Kluyveromyces lactis: one gene and its partners. The protein of the gene in region 4 binds, or shares a complex with, the protein of the main gene of each other region. Links are inferred from orthologs where the notes say so. Each region holds a gene or a part of one and is shown on either strand. Other genes may lie near its edges. The genes, in order: MRPL49, MRP7, MRPL33, MHR1, MRPL15, MRPL35 and MRPL51.

Region 1 (2,241 bases), on a different chromosome or scaffold from region 4:
GGATCCCTTGCTGCTGGAATCAAAACTATAATCGTTCTTCAAACCACTGGTCACCTTGTGATCCAATGACGATGGATAAAACTCACTGATATTGGCAGGATCAACATGTTTGTTGAGTATAGATGAGGCAGATCCTGACCTTGAATGTCCAGCAGTGCTACTCTTCTTCTTCAAGAAAGACATATCATCCACGGTTCATCTATATTTAGCGGGACTTTACTTATCAGATACTAAAGTATCGATACCCAGTAATTGTTGCACTAAGCTCTTCTCTTATCGTCTTTCTCCCCTCTTTATTAACGATTAAAATGGTATTAATTACAATTGTTTCTATTTGAATTTATATCTATTCTCTAAAACGGTAAACGTTTCTAACAAATTCGATGAGATGCTGCCACTAAAACATAGTTACTAGATGGTATAGTATTTCTAATCGATCTATAACGACCTAACATTATATTAAACTTTTATTTACACGATTTTGTAGGAGGGTTAGTTCATTAATTGACTTTTAGCTCGGATATTCTCAGAATAGTCAAATCGGCTTTATTGACCGCATGACGCACTTTCCTGTTTCTTCTCTTGGTAACTTCTCTCACTCTAAGCGGGCGTTTTGTCTTCTCAAGAACTGTAGCCTTAATAGTGTATAGAGATGGATCAATAGGTTCGTCCACGAGCTTGAAGTTACGAGAACCAATGGTAGTCACATCAGTCAAATTTAGCACATCGCCGACCTCTGCTTGCTTCAGTTTAAACGGTAAGATAACCTTATCTCCTTCTGTCACCAAGTATGGTCTGTTGTGTATTCTGAATACGGCATATAGCTCATTGGATAACTTCAACGGCGTTAAATTCACCTTCGCTTTTTCTGCTACCGAGTGTGTTGTTCTGATGAAACTTCTCTTCAAAGGTTGAAGAAATGGGCTGAAACCCACCATTTGCCTTACTGGGAGGGCAAACATATGACTGATATTCTTGAACATCGTTTCTGCACTGATTCGAACGACAATTGGCAGATGCAATAGCCCTTTCAATCTGCTTCTTCTCACTTGTCTTAAATGTTGTTCAACTAGTCGTATACTGTTTCAACAGAAAATTTTTTGAGCCTTCGAGAGTTAAGTGTTGATGTCAGTCACGTGACGTGACGTGAAAAGTAGGGCACACACACAGTCATGAGAAGGAAGAGCCAACGGCCACGCCAAGGGACAGCGTCGTTTCATTTGTGCATTCATTCGGGTATGTTACAAATGTTACAGAACTTTTATACATGAGTCAAACTATTCTTTTAATCCTGTGACAATTCATGCAGATTTGCGTTTATCACCGTTCAAGGATCTCATGACCTTCCTTCTTTGGGCAACCATGTGTGAGAATAGCACCGGGAACCCTGGAATGTAGGCTAGCATACCTGCAATTAAGAAATACTTGTACAAGATATTGTATTTTGCTTCAGCCAACGGCAATGCAGAATAAATTATGAACAATTCGCTGCCGACGCCCAATGGATATAGCACGTAAAACATGTTATATCTCAATACAACAAGTACAGTAGGCGCTTGAGCCACCAAGTTGAAGAAGTAGAACATGTACCTCACTATTTCAGCAATACACCATGCCGACAACAACGTGATGTAATATATTTTATGCGCATTTTCTGCTTCCGGCACATACTGGAAGATACCGATGACTACCAAGAGTCGAGAGGCCACTTGAGCAGCAGTGGTCACTAGCGGAGCACGGACTATTCCAAACAAAGAATTTGTGACTTCAATTATAGCACCGCATTGAACGTACGTGACTAAATCCTTGGTAGCAATAAAGAAACTTGGTTGACCGATCTTTGGGTAAAGGGTCACGACTTGATATAGGACATAAGCCCAGGCAGAAGCAGAAAGTAGGTTGTAAAGAGGAAGGAAGGAGAAGATAGAAGCCTTAGATGATGCCATTGGGTGTGAAAGTGTATTGGTGGGCTCTTTGGACTTCGGGGTTCAATTTATTAAGATCCAGTTCGGTTCTAAACAGACCAGTTTTTGTCAATAACAAGAATTCATGGTTTCAGATTCATAAAATTAAGTGATGCATTGAGACGAAAAGGAAGAGAAATCCAACAATACCCAAATTAACAAATTGCAGTATGTATTGATGACATGAGAATTAAGATTTGAATTAGTGTTACTCGTATGTTATTATTACTATTACTATTATTAATATTATTACTACTTGAACTAACGATAAACAGAG
Region 2 (3,055 bases), on a different chromosome or scaffold from region 4:
TTTGGTGGTAAGATTGTTGATATCGCTGAACAAAGTTGTATTGTGGAATTATGTGCTAAACCATCCCGTATCTCTGCATTCTTGAAACTTGTGGAACCTTTCGGTATCTTGGAAGTGGCAAGATCAGGTATGATGGCTCTACCAAGAACCCATTTATCTGTCGGTGATGAAGATGATGCTCAAAGCAAGATGAATGACATCGTTGATATCTCTCAATTGCCTCCTGGTTGATCCAAAGGGCTCACCTGCCATAGTTTTGTACCTCAAAACAATCCAATATCAAAAAAATAGTAATGTAAGAGTATGTTTTGGATTTTGTCTCACACATATAGACAAATTAAATACGTTAACGATATAATATGGAATTAACCTTTCCAAATGATATATAGTCTCTAAAAAACTTTCGTTTTTTTCAGTTTAAACTATGATGATTGTTGTGGTTCTTTTGTTAATATGTACAAGGCTCTAAATGGTTTGTTACGTAACGACTTGGGGAAGATTTACAATTTGCTCAAGAAATCGGTCTTTGGTCTTGTAATGACATCTATCGTGTTTTGTTCGTAGTTGTAACGTCTGGTGGTTAGATTTTTCTTGGAAGGTTTGAGTGGTTCTTCCAATTTCTTCAATTCTGTTTCTGGTTTCACTGGCTTCAAGAATTTTCTGCGTAGTCTCACCTCTTCAGATAACGTCAAGAAGTTCTTTGCATCAGTAAACTTGGCTAGTACTTGCTTCTTACTGTTCTTGTCCTTAATATCAATTGCCTTCAAATCAGTAATTAGTTGTGTCTTTAGAGTATTCTTTTCTTCTGGAGAAATGTATTTAGTTAATTCAAGCTTGTTGTTAAATGACAATGATTCATTCAATTTGGTCGAGACCTGTTTCAACAATGTTAGTTTGTCGTCCAACTTAGATTTTTCTTGGTTTCTCATCTTCAATTTAAGTTCTTGTTCCAAATAGTAGTACGAATTAAATCGGGCATCGGATTCATTGAACCCATTCTTCAAACAAGTTCTCCATCTGAGCAAATATGGTAATGCAAACGCAAGTTCTTGTTGATCCAGCTCAACTTTCAGATCTGAAATTATCTTGCTGTATTCTGCCTTCAACTCTTCACGTTTAATCTCACGTTCTTGCTGTTTCTTGATCAATTCATCCTTCAGCAAATAAATCTTTCTTGGTAAAGCGTTCTCTTCTGCAATGGCTTTCTCTTCATCCTCAATGATGGCCTTGCCGAATCTTCTCAAACGTGGTTCGAAATGCGGCAAAGGAAGCTTTACATCCTTGTATAATGATACACCAATGAATTTCTTACCTGGATGAAATGGATCCAAATAGTATCTCACATAACCCGGCTCCAAAGCGAAAAGCGTATGATCTTTACCGATGCCTACATTTTCACCAGGATAAAACTTGGTACCACGTTGTCTCATGATGATCTCACCAACTTGAGTGGCTTGACCCTCGTATTTTTTTGGACCCAATCTACGACCAGCAGAGTCCTTCATACTGGTACGAGAACCTGCTGCACGCTTGGTTGCAGTACGCACCTGCTGCACCACAAACTTGGGAACTTGTTGCCACGAAGATGAGAACATTATGCGTTGTTTCGTAGGCCTGGTCCGAACAGTATCAAGCAATGTCACAGTAACTGTATTTCTGCGTGTATCTGTACTTAATGTATTTAAGATAGGATTTTAGTGACAAAAATTTTCCACAGTATGGCGGATTGTAAGGTAGGGTAACAACGAAATCCAACAAGATATAGCCCTTCGAAGGTTCGTGTAACTGACTGTTTAAGAGTTGAAAGTATTGATTTATACATTTTACCAATTTCATCTATTGCTGAGAGTTCTTTCGATACCATAGTGAATTTTTCATGCTTGAGAAGGAGTAAACGTCTAATTCACGTCAAAGTTATTCGAAACTGAGGTTCCAATTAAAGATCTACCATCACTATATACGTTTTGATGTTCTCTTCCAGCACGAAAAACTCATATTTCTCTAAGTACAAAACATCAAGAAACCGACACTGCTTGCATCGAAAAGAAGTCTTCACCTTTCAGATTTACGTTTGAATAAACAGGACGTCCATTTATAGAAGTTTCCCAAATTAATTATCGTGCTGGTGAAGCCCATATTATCTAATTGAAATAGGAATACTAAGAACCGACAGCCCATAGATAAAAAAAAAATAAAACAAAATATATCAGTGATTCTAGCGAAAATGGCAACGGAAGATAGATGGGGTCTTGCCGTGACTCAATTACAAGATCTATATAAAATAGGAGATATTGCGGGGTTTGAGTCTTTAGATCCGAAGAATATGAATTTCCAGAATATGAATTTGAATCAATTGGCTGATATCCATGAGAAATTAGAGGCTCGTCAGTCTGTAAATGAAAAGATGAGAAATTACTGCAGAGATTTGGTAGAGAACATTTCATACATATTAGATAATTATCCAGTGGAAGAGGAACCTATATTAAAGGAGGAATCCAGTTCGACGCATATCCCTGAATCGAGTGTTGTTGGTAGATCACATTGGACCAGTCAATTCAACCCAAGTGAACCAATTGAGGTTGGTTCCGAAGTTGCATATAAATCTAAAAAGACTGGCGAATGGATCCAGTGCATATGCACAAAAGTTTCTGGGGACGGACTCCGGTTTGAAGTGAAAGATCCAGAACCCGATGAATTTGGGAAACCAGGTGGTATATTCAAATGTAACTCGAAAGAGATCCTCTTGATCCCGCCCGTGACTATGAAAAGAACCCAGACTCCGAATTATCCAGCGAATACAAAAGTTTTGGCAAGATATCCAGAAACAACGACTTTCTATCCAGCTATTGTTTGCGGAAGCAAAAGAGATGGGACATGTAAGCTACGATTCGACGGTGAAGAGGAAATAGACAAGGAGACTGAGGTGGAAAGAAGATTAGTTCTTCCTTTCCCCTCTAGACGATGAGTTTCTTAATTATATCACGTTCACGAAATGTATGTAATTTTCCATAGCCTGTAACAATAAAGAAAAAAAAATTATGAAAGAACATTAAAT
Region 3 (2,158 bases), about 340 kb from region 4:
TGTTTTGAGCAAATATATCTCCCAGAATATGAGTGTTCAAAGGTTACCACAAAGACCTAAAACAAAACATTTGTACAATAGAGTTGATCAATTGCTGGCTCAAGAAAATCAATTCTTTTCGGCAAATGACAGTATAGAACTAAGTTTTGATGGAAAAGCTATGAATAAAAATGATATCTTCAGAATTGTAGATTCGTTCTCGGTGGCATTTGACGATGATGAATATGGTGAAGATGGTGACGACGAATACGTGAAACAGCCTAGGAATATTCTCACCAGAGAAGTCACCGGTGTCTTCTAAATAAAGACGTTTGGTATATGATACTCTCAAATACCTCATTAGAATAAGATTAATATTTCTTTGATCTCTATATACATGAAAATCCTAATATCCTTTTCTTTATGTAAAACAGAAGATGTTCATTGTGAGCCCAGTTTCTTCTCTGTTAAATGTTTCTGGTACATTGCTTTGTTTGTTATATTGTCTGGTATGATCCTTTCTATACTCTCTTTTCGACAGTAAATCCAGGATTTGATTTTCTTAGCTCACGCTGTTCTGCCTTACTTAAAGCTTTATCGGCAAGCTCAACGCTCACAAGCTCCTTTATCTGAGCGACAGCACCTGCAATAGATGGTGTAGCTGGTTGATATGCGACAGATCCTCTTTTTCCGAGTCCTAAACTCTTGACCACTGCCCTAGTCTTCTGTGGAGTACCAATGACTGACCTCTGTAATGTAATTCTGTAGAAAACCATGGCTATCTTTGAAAATTATTATGATAGCTATGCTTTTAGAAACCGTTCGCTAATACCAGTAATGAAGTATAATTTCCTCGGTCGTAAGTTTCGTTGACAATATAGAGAACTATGTCAAAAAAAAACGCTCTTTTAAGAGATCTTGTGCATCATTATCGAAGAGATTAACTGGGTATTCAAACCATTAATAGCCAACGTACATTGATTTTTCAAATAGCATCAAAACGTATAAAGTGATATCATGTGATGTATATTGTCTAGCAGCTCATCGCGTATGTCATTTGGGCACTTCTCACAAACCGTCGCAGGAAAGTGCTACCTACTGAGAAAGAACCAGGAATTGCATATAAAGATCTCAAGATTATATCTCGCTGTTTGAATATTTCTTCCTGAATATGAAGTTGCATTGAAATTGTCTTAGGAGGGGCATTTGCTTGGTTATGTATATATATATATATATATATGTCATTTCTTTTTTTCCAATATTTATGCCCGATTGAATAATATATATATATATCATATTAACAAGCTCTTAACGCCATGGTTGGTTAGATCTCTCTAAGGTTTATATCGCCACTATACACTGCAAAGTAGAAGTAATAATTTGAGCCAATATGGCTGGTAGTACGCAAGACACCGGCGTCAAAGACGTTCCAAAAGAGCTTGTGGAACAAGCAAAAAAGCTATCGATTACTGATGGGATGGACCAGTTGAAGGTAGAAGGTAAGAATAAAGTAAAGGACAAGAAAAGTAAGAAAAAAGGCAAGGCCTTGAATGAGATCACTCCAGAGTATATCGCTGAGATGCGAGCTAAGAGAGAAGCTGCGAAAATAGCAAAAAAAGAGGCTCTTATTGCTCAAGGTATAGATCCAAAATTGCCCGCAGACCTTAGATTTATCAAAAGGCCGATGTTAGCTGTTCCTCGAGATTCATCAGGCCAATCGACGAGAGAGGTATGTCCAATCAGTATAATGACGTATAATTGTCTTGCCCAAGCTTTGATTAGAAGAACACTGTTTCCTACGAGCGGAAATGCTGTTAAATGGTTTAAAAGATCTCAAGTTTTACTCAATGAATTCAAATATTACAATGTTGACGTACTGTGTTTGCAAGAAATTGACACGGTTCAATACAAGTCTTTCTGGAAAATGGAGTTCACAAAACTAGGTTACATGTGTCAATTCCATTTTAATCCTACCAAAAACCACGGAGTATTAATTGCTTGGAAAGAAGATCTATTTGATATGACAGATAAGATGTTAATTGACTACGACAAAGAAACAACAGGTGCCATTGAACCAAGAACAACTACCAAAAATGTTGGCATGTTGCTTTCTTTGAAGTTTAAAAAGAAAGTGCTAGAAAAATATCCAGACACCAAAGTCAGTGGTATAATTATTGGT
Region 4 (2,512 bases):
TTATGCTAGAAAAACTAAGAAAAACCCGAAGCCTCTAAGGGAAAACAGGATTGTCGTTAAAGAAACACCAGAGAAAACCAGAGAAACGGTGTTAAGGTTTCTCAAATTTGGTCATGTGACATTTTTTTTGCTTTTTCTTTGGTGTCCGGGTTCCTGCTTCTTCTTCCGTTAGGCGTTAATGCATGCATGAGACACATATGGTATGAAGCGGTAGAAAAGTAGAGGAAGTAATATGATGATTACAGAACCTTTGATATTTAGGTTACGTGATGATGGAAACAAGGGAGAAAACTGCTAGTAATCACCTTGTCAAATCAGTTAAACGCCGGTAGTGAGCTGAGGGTTTGTTTATATTATTTACAGAGTCGGATTGTCTGCGGGTTATATATGTACATGTAGTGATTTCTTAAAGACGTGACGAGTGAAGCAGTGAAAGATCTGAGCTCGGCTCAGCTTTTGCAACTGGAAATAGTTTGTATTTGCTTGTTTTCTTTTGTAACTCATAGAGAGATGTTTTGAGCAGCTGACTCCTGTTGTCTCACTCTTGCGAACTCTTCTTTGGCTCTTTCGCCTAGTTCTTTCAAAATTGCACTTTCCTCTCTGGAAACGTTCCCCAAACGTTCTAGTGTTGTGTGATTCAACTCTGGCAATACTGGGTTCCAGTATTTCTCTTTATCCCCCATTCTCCATTCGTCTTCCCAATGGACCTTAATGGACGATTGGACGTCTTTCAACTTTAGGAGACATTCTCGCAAATCGGCAACCGCTTCTTGAGAGTATGTTGGTCTGTATTGCGATGAGTACCATGTGTGGCCGGACTCATTCTTCTTTCTCATGTCTTTTGCCTGTTTACTGAATGTCACATCACGGAGATATCTTAATCTGCACAAATTCTGGTATACTTTTACACTCTTGTCGTAGTCTGGTAGATCAACAACAGCCATACATTTCCAAATATCACGTCTGGTGCTTGGTTTCTTATTCTCCCAGTTGGGTCTTTGGAAATTGGTATCAATTTGCTTCCAAGAAAAAGTCGGGAATTGAGAGTACAGCACTTGTCCACTCTCTAGGTTTCTGAATAAAAAGACTTGTGGTGCATACCCTGCTTTCTGTAGCCAGTTGGCTGGACGGAACTTGGTAATAGCTAAATGCTTGCTCATCTCTTCCTAGTGCCCTATGGTGTCTTCAAGCCTTATTTGTTAACAACAAAAGCCTTGATCCTCAGAGTTCTCTTCTATCTCCAGTGCTATTGATGGACTTCTGAAGAGTTATTTAAATACAATGTGTGCACAAATGTGGTGATCTCTTCTGTAATCAAGCTAAACTAACTATCAGCTTTCTCTTTTTCAAAATTTTTCAGCTTTTTCAGATGCCATAAACAACTTCGTAGAAACACTGAAAATTAAAGAGAATGAACCTAATATATACATTACCCGGATCTTGTGATGATATTGAATTCTCCGCTACCTGCTCTATCTTATCTTGGATCTCATCTCCAGAGAAAGGTTTTCCTATCAGCAGACACGCACAGTAGAGTTATCACCTTCATCCGTCAAGTGTCCGCATATTCCACCATCTAGAACTTGATGTTTGAATTGAATTATGGAGCCGTTCCTACGTCCCGGACAGATTGCTTAGCTAGAGTTCTCGATTGTGGAGATGATAACCGTGGATCGATAAGTGCCATTTGTGAGCCGGACTTGACAATTGACGGGAATTCAAGCCTAGCAAGCAGTGAGAATTATACCAATTGTAAAATCTGTGGAGGGTTTGCGAATTTTTTATGTTCAAGAGATTCACGAGCTGGGTGGTTTTGTTCTTTTTGTAATGCTTATAATGAACTAGGGAATATTCCATTATCATCGTCATACCTAAAACATTTAGGAACTGCTGCTGTGCCTACGCATTCCAAGTTCGCCATAATCATCGATCTTAATTGTGAATTTGAGGAAAATCTAGACGCGTTGAAGATGTTACAATTTGGTTCTGTCCAGTCATTGGCCCTGATCACGATTGAAGATGGGTCTGTCACTATTCATACTGACGGGTCACACATTACCGTAGATGCAGAATCTAGTAGTTGTATCAGCCATCTTAAGAAGCTTGACACAGAATGGTTCATTGCAAAGTATGGGCTTTTAGTGAGGAAGATTTGGACGGACCAAATATCTTTCGGTGCTAAACTCGCGGAACTTCTATGTCAACGGACTAGGTCAAAAAAAAGATGTAGAAGAAACACTGCACTCGCTATTTTTCTAGCACAATGTCTAAACCCATCACAATCCATTGCATTTGTTTTCGGACCCTGTACAGTAGCACCAGGTAAGGTTATCTCAATGGACCGAAAAAATCATATCAGGCAGCATAGAAATATAGAGGAAGACAAGGATGTGAAATATTGGAAACCTTCTAGAGAATTTTACAATAAAATGAGTAAGTCCTTAAAGTTTGCTCCATGCACGGTATTCGTCGCATCCATGGATCAGGTCGGAATATGGGAGATGAGATCCTG
Region 5 (2,526 bases), about 630 kb from region 4:
AAGTAAATTACCAGCAAAAAACATCCCTTCTATGAAGTTATATATGTATTTATATACATGTATTGTATTATGTACTTTTCTTAATCTGTTTTTATTTTGTATGTTAACATTTAATTAATGATAGATTTAGTTGTAAATTTATGTACGTCTATATTTCTAGAGATACATGAGATATATACAGTGCGCGCGTTTCTTTCGAGGTTCATTTTTAATTGAAGTGTGACGATGGAGTGTCGTTAAAAGGTTATGCTTTTCATGCTTTTGGTAAATTCATTATAATAAAACGTTGAAATTGAGCAGGGATGAAAGAGTAGATTAAAACACCACATTGACCAAGAGCTGTGATTGAAACTTCCGTTTCGAAATATATATATACAAGTTTTGAAAGCTCTTTCCCAACTCCGATGGAGACCATTCACTCGAGTGCTTTTTATTGATGTCGAAGTCTATTGTGTATTCCATTTCTCTTTCTTTCCTGTCGTGTAAAATTAGACATAATATTATAACTTCTCGGTCGTATCCCTGTTTGCTAACAAACTTTCAGATATCTTCGTTAGGGAATCACTATTGTCGCTGAATAGTTCATGCAACACGTATTCGGTGGCCTTGTCTTGACCGTGCAATAGATAGACACTGCCGACCACAGAATTTAGCACAGTTTGTAGCACGGTATACTCACCGTTATATTTGTGACTTTTTTGAGTGTCTCGTTTGTTCCAAAACACTAATTTATCTAGGTTTCTCCTTTGCAAAAATTCAGCCGTACTCTGTTTGGATATTAACATTTTAGAACTTCCCTTCCCAAGCATACCGAAATTTAGTCCGTTAATAACAGGTTCAGACTGTACGCTTTGTGATAGTTGCCTTTCAGAAACAGGTAGACCCAAGGAATGAAGACAAGCTTGATATTTCACAAAATGACCACCGATAATAGACAATTTCTGATTGTATGGTTTAATACCTTGGGCAAACGACTTGTGAGTCAAACATTGTGTAATGATGTCGTCTGGCAAGTCAATACCATATTTTTCCAAATTCAAACCTTGCTTAACAGTAGATACATGGCCATCCTTGACAAGAGAATCATAGTGCAAACCGTGTGGATTCTTCAAAGACTCAACTGGGTCTCTTTTCAAACCACGTACCCTAGTCCCAACGTGTAGATAAGAACCATTACGCACGCCGAATTTTGTGCTTAAGTTAAGACCAATTTTGGTTAAGGACATTATTCCAGAAGTAAAAAAATACTGTCTGAATGGTTTCTGTCTGGTATTTTCACAATTCAATCTTCCTCGACCGAATATCAACAGATTGTAATTACACAGGACACAAATATTAGAATTATTGAATCTTAATTCTAACAGTTTAGTCCTTTTAACTACGATTCAAACTGTTTCTTTGTAGTTTTTCGACTCGAGGCAGCGATCCAAATTTTGAAATTTTTCAAAATTTTTCAGATCACTCCAAACGAGGTCATCGCTGTGTCTAAGTGCTATCTTGTATGATGGGAATACATGCAATATCAAGGCATTAGGTACTGTTATCAAGGGAATATGGTCATTATGGGCTGGTATTATGAGGGCTTAATACCAGCTGTATCTTAAAGTAAGCTTTGCTGCATCTTTATGCCTTGAGAAGTACTTTTATATCGATTTTTACACTTATTGTACCCTAAGTTTTGTGAAAAGAAACGCTTCAGTAAGATCAATTTTAATTGAAAAAACTGCAATTAGATGTAGGCGATGAGATGAGATGAGATGAGATGAGAGAGTAGTAAGAGATTGATTATATCACTCACAGTGGTTTACTATCGAATTTATTCTCATTACTAAGTAACTTCTCACAGGCCAATACTAGCACCGCTAATTAACATGGATATCTTTAGAGTCTTGACTCGTGGAGCTAGCATAAGGAAGAATGGTGATTCTAATAGAACACAGTCTGCAGACTTTAGCATGGCTAATGAAAAGAAGAGTAAGACAGCTGGCAGCTCAAGTACACCAGCTAGAGATGAACAACAATTGACTAAGGAGTTGGATTTTTTCCGTAATAAGAAAATCATGAATAAGGTAAAGTCTGAGTCAACCAAAGGTGAAGGTGAAGACGAAGTACAAGAAGATAATCAAGAAGAAGACGAAGATCATGCTGATGACGAGACTGAGTTATCCGGGAAAATTATCACGAAACAAGATGCGTTAAAGTTACGTAAATCTTATCAAGGGAATGTTTCAGGGAATAGTGTTCCTTTGCCCATCGGTTCTTTTGAAGACTTGATCACAAGGTTCCAATTCGATAAGAGATTGTTAAACAACCTCATAGAAAATAACTTCACTGAACCAACTCCGATTCAAAGTGAATCTATACCGATTTTGTTGCATGAACGTGACATGATCGCTTGTGCTCCCACAGGTTCTGGTAAAACGTTGGCATTTTTGATCCCACTACTGCAACAGATAATCAACGATAAAACCACAGTTGGTCTTAAAGGTTTAATTATATCCCCAACAAAAGAACTTGCGAACCAGA
Region 6 (3,025 bases), on a different chromosome or scaffold from region 4:
GTTTGAATTCTGGTAGTCAACAAGAAATGATGACAACAAGAGTTATATCTGCTTTCCTCGACTAAGAACGAAAGACCTCACGAATCCTTTTTTTTGTTACGATTAGATTTACAGCCAATACAATAACATATGAAGAAGAAACAGCCAAAAAAAAAGAAGATTCTATATATAGCCTCTAGGAAAATATTCAATCAGAGGCAGTCCAAAAAAACAGACGCACATGAACGCACGCACCATACACCGTATTATTACTATATAATTTATTATGTTACCGGGAATAAATGTTAACTAATGATCATATTCTTAATAGATTCGAACAAGCTTTTTAGTTTTTTTTATGATTTGCGTATGTTGCATTGATTTTCTACATTGCATATTATTTACATGAGGTATGAGATATTATTCAGACCACCTGAGGTTGTTGAAAAGTGTGTAATCATATATATCGCGAGAGAGACGAGGAGGAAATAAACTCTTTCTGGAAACTTTCATTTTTTTTTTCATACAACAGATCTACGAACTCTATGGAACACTCTCCCTTCTGGTAATCCGTATTTCTCTCTAATGTTTGCCACGTTAGAATCCCATTCTGATCTCCAAACATGAGCACCAACCGGGTCCAAGTTGTGGGAACGAACAAATTCTCTAATATCGAAGTTTTCTCTATCGACTGGTTCAGGGGATTCCAAATCACCATTCTGTCTGAATACCCATACAGAGAACCTTTGCTTGCCAACATTTTTCTCAGGTACTGGAGGAATGTAATCTGCAAGAATCTGCGATTCATTGTATTTTCTTGGATCTACCACGTTGTCGTTATAGTCTATCTTTAAATTAGTCAAACCGAACGCCAAAGTCGTCTTGAATGTATCATTCAACACATCCGGTTCATCTGGATTCACAATTACCACAGTGTATTTTTGCTTTTCGAAGTCGATACCGTTCTCGTACTCTTGAATCTTAATTGTTGGAACCATCGAAGTCGTGTTGGAGGACAAAATTTCACCAGGTTCAACCCATTTGTTCACACCAGTACTGAATGGGAAACGTAAATTAACCTGTACTCTTGGTTGTAAAGTAGGTAACGTATCGGGGATTACACTCAAAGTCTCTAGTCTTTGCATTAACAACATTTTTTCGTAGGATTCCCAATGCTTCAGCCCCAAACGCCTGTACACTGGAACAGCATAATCTATCACTCTAGTATCGTTCTCTAACTTGTCATGATACTGAAAATTGTATTGGACCTCTGGGTTATGCAATTCAGCCTCTGTTTCTAACTTAGCACGTACCTTGGCATCAGTCTCATTTTCTAGTTGCGAATACTTCTCTTCAGCGCGCTTACTCATAAACTCATAACTCAAGCGGAACATCTCATCAATATGTTCAGGAGAGGTATACTTCAAACGGTTCATCCTCCGCTTCAAAGACGGTGGACCTCGTCTTCTAACGTCATCGCTGTCGCCTTGAAAGATGTATTTCTTAATCGATTCTGATGCTAAACCAAGCGACTTGGATCTCTTAGAAAAGTCCGACCATACCCCGGTTTTCTCTAAACATTTGGCACTGCTGTGCAACCCTCTACGCAACATTCTCCAATTCGAGTTGTTAGTCTCTGAAACACCCTCCAATGGGATCCTACAACTGATTATTCATGTATCTTCATTGTCCGTTCATACTTAAAACTCATCTGAATCGTTCGAAATCGATTTTTCACCAAAAAATTTTAATGTGTTTCAGTCCGGGTAACAGAAGATCGTGCCTCTCGCTCCAAGTGGAAGTTCAGAGATCAATAACTGGTAAGCTTTGCCTTTGAGACTGCCATTCGGTTTCATATGTTGCAAATGACGCTCTTCTGATCCAGCGAACCCATCATATCCATCTTTCTTTGTATATTTTCTTCTTCCCTTTCCTATATGCGGATTATAATGATCATTTATGTTTGAAACGACGAATCTTATATGAGAATGCTCATCGCGACATTGTTTCAGATCTGTAAAGACAAGATGCCTCAACTTTTTCCTGGTATAAAGACCCTTTGCCAATCAGCATTGTAGGTTTACTTCTCATTCCCTGTATTATCCTGTATAATATTCAAAAGCTTATTAAATCAAATATGAACGGTTCAGAACCGAATTCTACAGAGTTAAGGCACGATGTCGAGGCAGTTACCATACTAATATCTAAACTTCAAGTTTACTCGCAGTTTGATACACAAACTCCAACAGAGAGAGCTTTTCCCTCTATGTTCAGCTCCGATTCTGATATAAGCGACTCAATTGACTCTGATGTCGGAGATCAGCTAAAGAGACGGTCTTCTTCAATACTGCGCAAAATGTTTAATAGGTCAAAGAAACTACTGCCAAAACTACACAAGAGGTGAAACGTATGAGCAGTTGTGCTGCTGGATAATGGAGGAGCTTCTCTTTTCATACTACTCCGTCTTATATCAAAATTTCTACGCTCACTTCTGAGCTTTTCAGCAGGGAAGGTAGAAAAAAATTTTGACACATTGACGAAAACAGATTGATAACACTTAAGACCTTTGATAAAGCTTTGAATGACACCTACTCTTTGATTTCATATTGGATTTTTCACTATATAAGACAACTGGGGTGATATATCCAGAGAACCAATTAGGTATTGGAATAGTTTATACCTGATTCACTGAAAGATGGCTGACGTTAAGATTCAAACTCTACCAACCGACTTTAGGGCCAACCATTATGAGATTGAATTGAGTGAGTTAGATGCTGAGCACAATTCATTTATCGGATCCGTGCGTATTATTATGTCCACTGTTAATGCCAATGACATGATTTCATTGAATATGAGGGACATTGAGATCGTTTCTGCGGTGGTTGAACTGAAAGAGGGGTCTGTGTCTTTGGGAATGAAGGACCATAGTTTCGATTTAGAGAACGATGTTGTTTCCTTGAAATTTCCGGAGAGTATATCTGATGATGAATTCGTGTTGAAGATCGATTATAAGGGTATGATTCAGACTAATATGTCTGGATTCTAC
Region 7 (2,110 bases), on a different chromosome or scaffold from region 4:
AGCAATTTATCAAAGAGCGTGAAGCGCAGCAGAAGGAAGTCGAGAATAGCTCTAAGCAAAATAATAAATCTGGCAGTGCTAATACCAATAATGCTACTGCCGACGAAGGTAAGAATGTCAAGGATAAACCAATACTAGCAGAGTGGGAGAAATCACCTAATTTGCACATCTTCAATATAATGTACGATTTAACACCCCCTGACTACATCAAGAAGATCATTACAGAATTTGGTTCGTTGCCACCATCTTCTGTTCCCGTGGTTCTTAGAGAATACAAAGCATCAGCTTGAATGGAGCCCTTTGCATATATAATATACGATAATATCATATAATATAGTAAATGAAAAATTAGTATAGATCTTCTTTTTTATTAATTGCGTAGTAATATTCAACATCGTAGGTTGTTTACTTAGGTATCGGCTTCATCGAGGATATTGCTATATATATGTACAAGTTAAGCTATGATCTCGATATTACCATTCACAAGTCATTTTTTCGATTCAAACCTTGTGTCTGATGGCTGGGCTTAAATGTAGTGGAGACCAGATACCTCTCACACTATCGTTCAAAGTATCCACATTGTCGTTCTTAGTTCTGTGACGGAGTTGCTCACCAGATGCGTCTCTGATTAGTTTTAACTTATTCTCTACATTATCAATGTTCAGATTTTTTACGCAGATGGCTTTATTACGGCCATTAACATAGTCACCTTTTATAACTGGATGGCCAGACTTTCTTACTATTTCGAACTGTATTGTTGGATATTTTTCAGCCCATTGAATCATTCTGTTAGACGTTAGGAAATCTCTCAAACCCTGTGAGGAACCACCCCAATTACAGTATTGCAAAGTGATCTTTTTACATGGAAGCACAAAAGCGCCAACACCATTTCTTGCGATAGAAGTTTGTCTCAAAACTTTAACAACCATTACTTCAGAGAAATCTTTATGACCGCGGGTACCAGCTCTGATTAGAAAACAAGTTGGGTGTATTTTGAAACTGTGGAGAGATCCTTCAGATGCAGAACATAGATTCACTAATATATCTTTTGAGTTTTATTCGAGTTTTCAGTTCATGATTATTTTTTTCCAATTTCAAAAGACCATCAGTCACGTGAACAAATCTGTATGTATTCGAAGGTAGGAGGACAATTCACCACATGCTCACACAAATGAAAAAGATACTGGTACCAACACTGCTATAAGGTGACGAATGTAAATAATACAGAACCTCTTTCCGACTATATTCTGTTTCTTTCACATTGCTATGTCAACACATCCTCATGAGATGTCATACGTCATGTAAACTTGATGATCTGTCGATGGGTTATGACAATAATGCACTACCAGCGTTTGGTTAAGGGTACTTTTACTGAGCAAATCCATAGAAAGTACGATAGAGGCCCCAGATTCTGATCCAAGATGTCCCAAAGGCTTCATATGAGGTTAATTAAATAAAGGGCCTGATTTGCGTTCACCCATGGAATGTACGGATTGACACCTAGCGTATGTTGGATGCACACTAGTAATTTGTTAAAAAAATTATGCACATGCGTCATTTAAACCAATTAACTGGGCACTCCCTATTAAGTGTGATGTAAGTGTATGACACTTTGTTCAAGAACAGGCAAATGTATTGCCATAATAGTCACCAGTTTATCATTATGGTGCGTATAATGTCCCTATAACTATTGAAAAATTAAAGTTCTATGCGTTTTTTTAAGGATGCGTATAACGATGACCACCCCTAAAAAACATTCACTTGTAAGTAGCGAACAGTCAAGGTTTGTATCCGTTTCTTTAATTTATTACGGCGTTCACTGAAGCGTTTCAACGATGCAGTATAAAATGCGACAAAAAAATTTAGGGAAAAAAGCAGAAGAATACCATACTAATTAACTGGAACTTGGTAATTCATCAACGGTAAATACTTATAAGGTGTTAAGAGTTTATTAGCGTGTCCAAAGTAACATTTGTATTATATAAGAAGGGCAGCAAATGGCACTTTTTTACTACCATTTTCATACCTTTTACTTGCACCTTTATTTCATGTCATTGAAGAATTCTTAATATACATAGTTTTCCTTCAGATTAATTAAAGATTGAACACC

The links.
Region 1: MHR1 (region 4) and MRPL49 share a complex: the UniProt entries of both Saccharomyces cerevisiae proteins name them as parts of the mitochondrial large ribosomal subunit. The link is inferred for Kluyveromyces lactis from reciprocal best matches to the Saccharomyces cerevisiae genes MHR1 and MRPL49.
Region 2: MHR1 (region 4) and MRP7 share a complex: the UniProt entries of both Saccharomyces cerevisiae proteins name them as parts of the mitochondrial large ribosomal subunit. The link is inferred for Kluyveromyces lactis from reciprocal best matches to the Saccharomyces cerevisiae genes MHR1 and MRP7.
Region 3: MHR1 (region 4) and MRPL33 share a complex: the UniProt entries of both Saccharomyces cerevisiae proteins name them as parts of the mitochondrial large ribosomal subunit. The link is inferred for Kluyveromyces lactis from reciprocal best matches to the Saccharomyces cerevisiae genes MHR1 and MRPL33.
Region 5: MHR1 (region 4) and MRPL15 share a complex: the UniProt entries of both Saccharomyces cerevisiae proteins name them as parts of the mitochondrial large ribosomal subunit. The link is inferred for Kluyveromyces lactis from reciprocal best matches to the Saccharomyces cerevisiae genes MHR1 and MRPL15.
Region 6: MHR1 (region 4) and MRPL35 share a complex: the UniProt entries of both Saccharomyces cerevisiae proteins name them as parts of the mitochondrial large ribosomal subunit. The link is inferred for Kluyveromyces lactis from reciprocal best matches to the Saccharomyces cerevisiae genes MHR1 and MRPL35.
Region 7: MHR1 (region 4) and MRPL51 share a complex: the UniProt entries of both Saccharomyces cerevisiae proteins name them as parts of the mitochondrial large ribosomal subunit. The link is inferred for Kluyveromyces lactis from reciprocal best matches to the Saccharomyces cerevisiae genes MHR1 and MRPL51.

The regions. Positions count from the first base shown.
Region 1 is NC_006042.1:1,309,063-1,311,303, reverse strand, and holds MRPL49 (mitochondrial 54S ribosomal protein bL21m), read right to left. Parts: upstream 984-2,241; coding exon 501-983; downstream 1-500. Other genes in the region: mitogen-activated protein kinase kinase kinase BCK1, read right to left, coding at 1-183; enoyl-CoA hydratase PHS1, read right to left, coding at 1,302-1,946. UniProt on the Saccharomyces cerevisiae protein: Component of the mitochondrial ribosome (mitoribosome), a dedicated translation machinery responsible for the synthesis of mitochondrial genome-encoded proteins, including at least some of the essential transmembrane subunits of the mitochondrial respiratory chain.
Region 2 is NC_006042.1:1,140,011-1,143,065, forward strand, and holds MRP7 (mitochondrial 54S ribosomal protein bL27m), read right to left. Parts: upstream 1,596-3,055; coding exon 501-1,595; downstream 1-500. Other genes in the region: ILV6 (acetolactate synthase regulatory subunit), read left to right, coding at 1-231; SGF29 (Sgf29p), read left to right, coding at 2,225-2,965. UniProt on the Saccharomyces cerevisiae protein: Component of the mitochondrial ribosome (mitoribosome), a dedicated translation machinery responsible for the synthesis of mitochondrial genome-encoded proteins, including at least some of the essential transmembrane subunits of the mitochondrial respiratory chain.
Region 3 is NC_006039.1:553,255-555,412, reverse strand, and holds MRPL33 (mitochondrial 54S ribosomal protein uL30m), read right to left. Parts: upstream 756-2,158; coding exon 501-755; downstream 1-500. Other genes in the region: KLLA0_C06292g (uncharacterized protein), read left to right, coding at 1-301; NGL2 (RNA exonuclease), read left to right, coding at 1,370-2,158. UniProt on the Saccharomyces cerevisiae protein: Component of the mitochondrial ribosome (mitoribosome), a dedicated translation machinery responsible for the synthesis of mitochondrial genome-encoded proteins, including at least some of the essential transmembrane subunits of the mitochondrial respiratory chain.
Region 4 is NC_006039.1:893,436-895,947, forward strand, and holds MHR1 (mitochondrial 54S ribosomal protein mL67), read right to left. Parts: upstream 1,161-2,512; coding exon 501-1,160; downstream 1-500. Other genes in the region: GTPase-activating protein NEL1, read left to right, coding at 1,587-2,512. UniProt on the Saccharomyces cerevisiae protein: Component of the mitochondrial ribosome (mitoribosome), a dedicated translation machinery responsible for the synthesis of mitochondrial genome-encoded proteins, including at least some of the essential transmembrane subunits of the mitochondrial respiratory chain.
Region 5 is NC_006039.1:1,528,070-1,530,595, forward strand, and holds MRPL15 (mitochondrial 54S ribosomal protein mL57), read right to left. Parts: upstream 1,227-2,526; coding exon 501-1,226; downstream 1-500. Other genes in the region: KLLA0_C17380g (uncharacterized protein), read left to right, coding at 1-6; RNA-dependent ATPase ROK1, read left to right, coding at 1,872-2,526. UniProt on the Saccharomyces cerevisiae protein: Component of the mitochondrial ribosome (mitoribosome), a dedicated translation machinery responsible for the synthesis of mitochondrial genome-encoded proteins, including at least some of the essential transmembrane subunits of the mitochondrial respiratory chain.
Region 6 is NC_006040.1:1,119,512-1,122,536, reverse strand, and holds MRPL35 (mitochondrial 54S ribosomal protein mL38), read right to left. Parts: upstream 1,593-3,025; coding exon 501-1,592; downstream 1-500. Other genes in the region: KLLA0_D13079g (uncharacterized protein), read left to right, coding at 2,117-2,383; KLLA0_D13068g (M1 family metallopeptidase), read left to right, coding at 2,675-3,025. UniProt on the Saccharomyces cerevisiae protein: Component of the mitochondrial ribosome (mitoribosome), a dedicated translation machinery responsible for the synthesis of mitochondrial genome-encoded proteins, including at least some of the essential transmembrane subunits of the mitochondrial respiratory chain.
Region 7 is NC_006042.1:776,644-778,753, forward strand, and holds MRPL51 (mitochondrial 54S ribosomal protein mL43), read right to left. Parts: upstream 930-2,110; coding exon 501-929; downstream 1-500. Other genes in the region: GCD2 (translation initiation factor eIF2B subunit delta), read left to right, coding at 1-290. UniProt on the Saccharomyces cerevisiae protein: Component of the mitochondrial ribosome (mitoribosome), a dedicated translation machinery responsible for the synthesis of mitochondrial genome-encoded proteins, including at least some of the essential transmembrane subunits of the mitochondrial respiratory chain.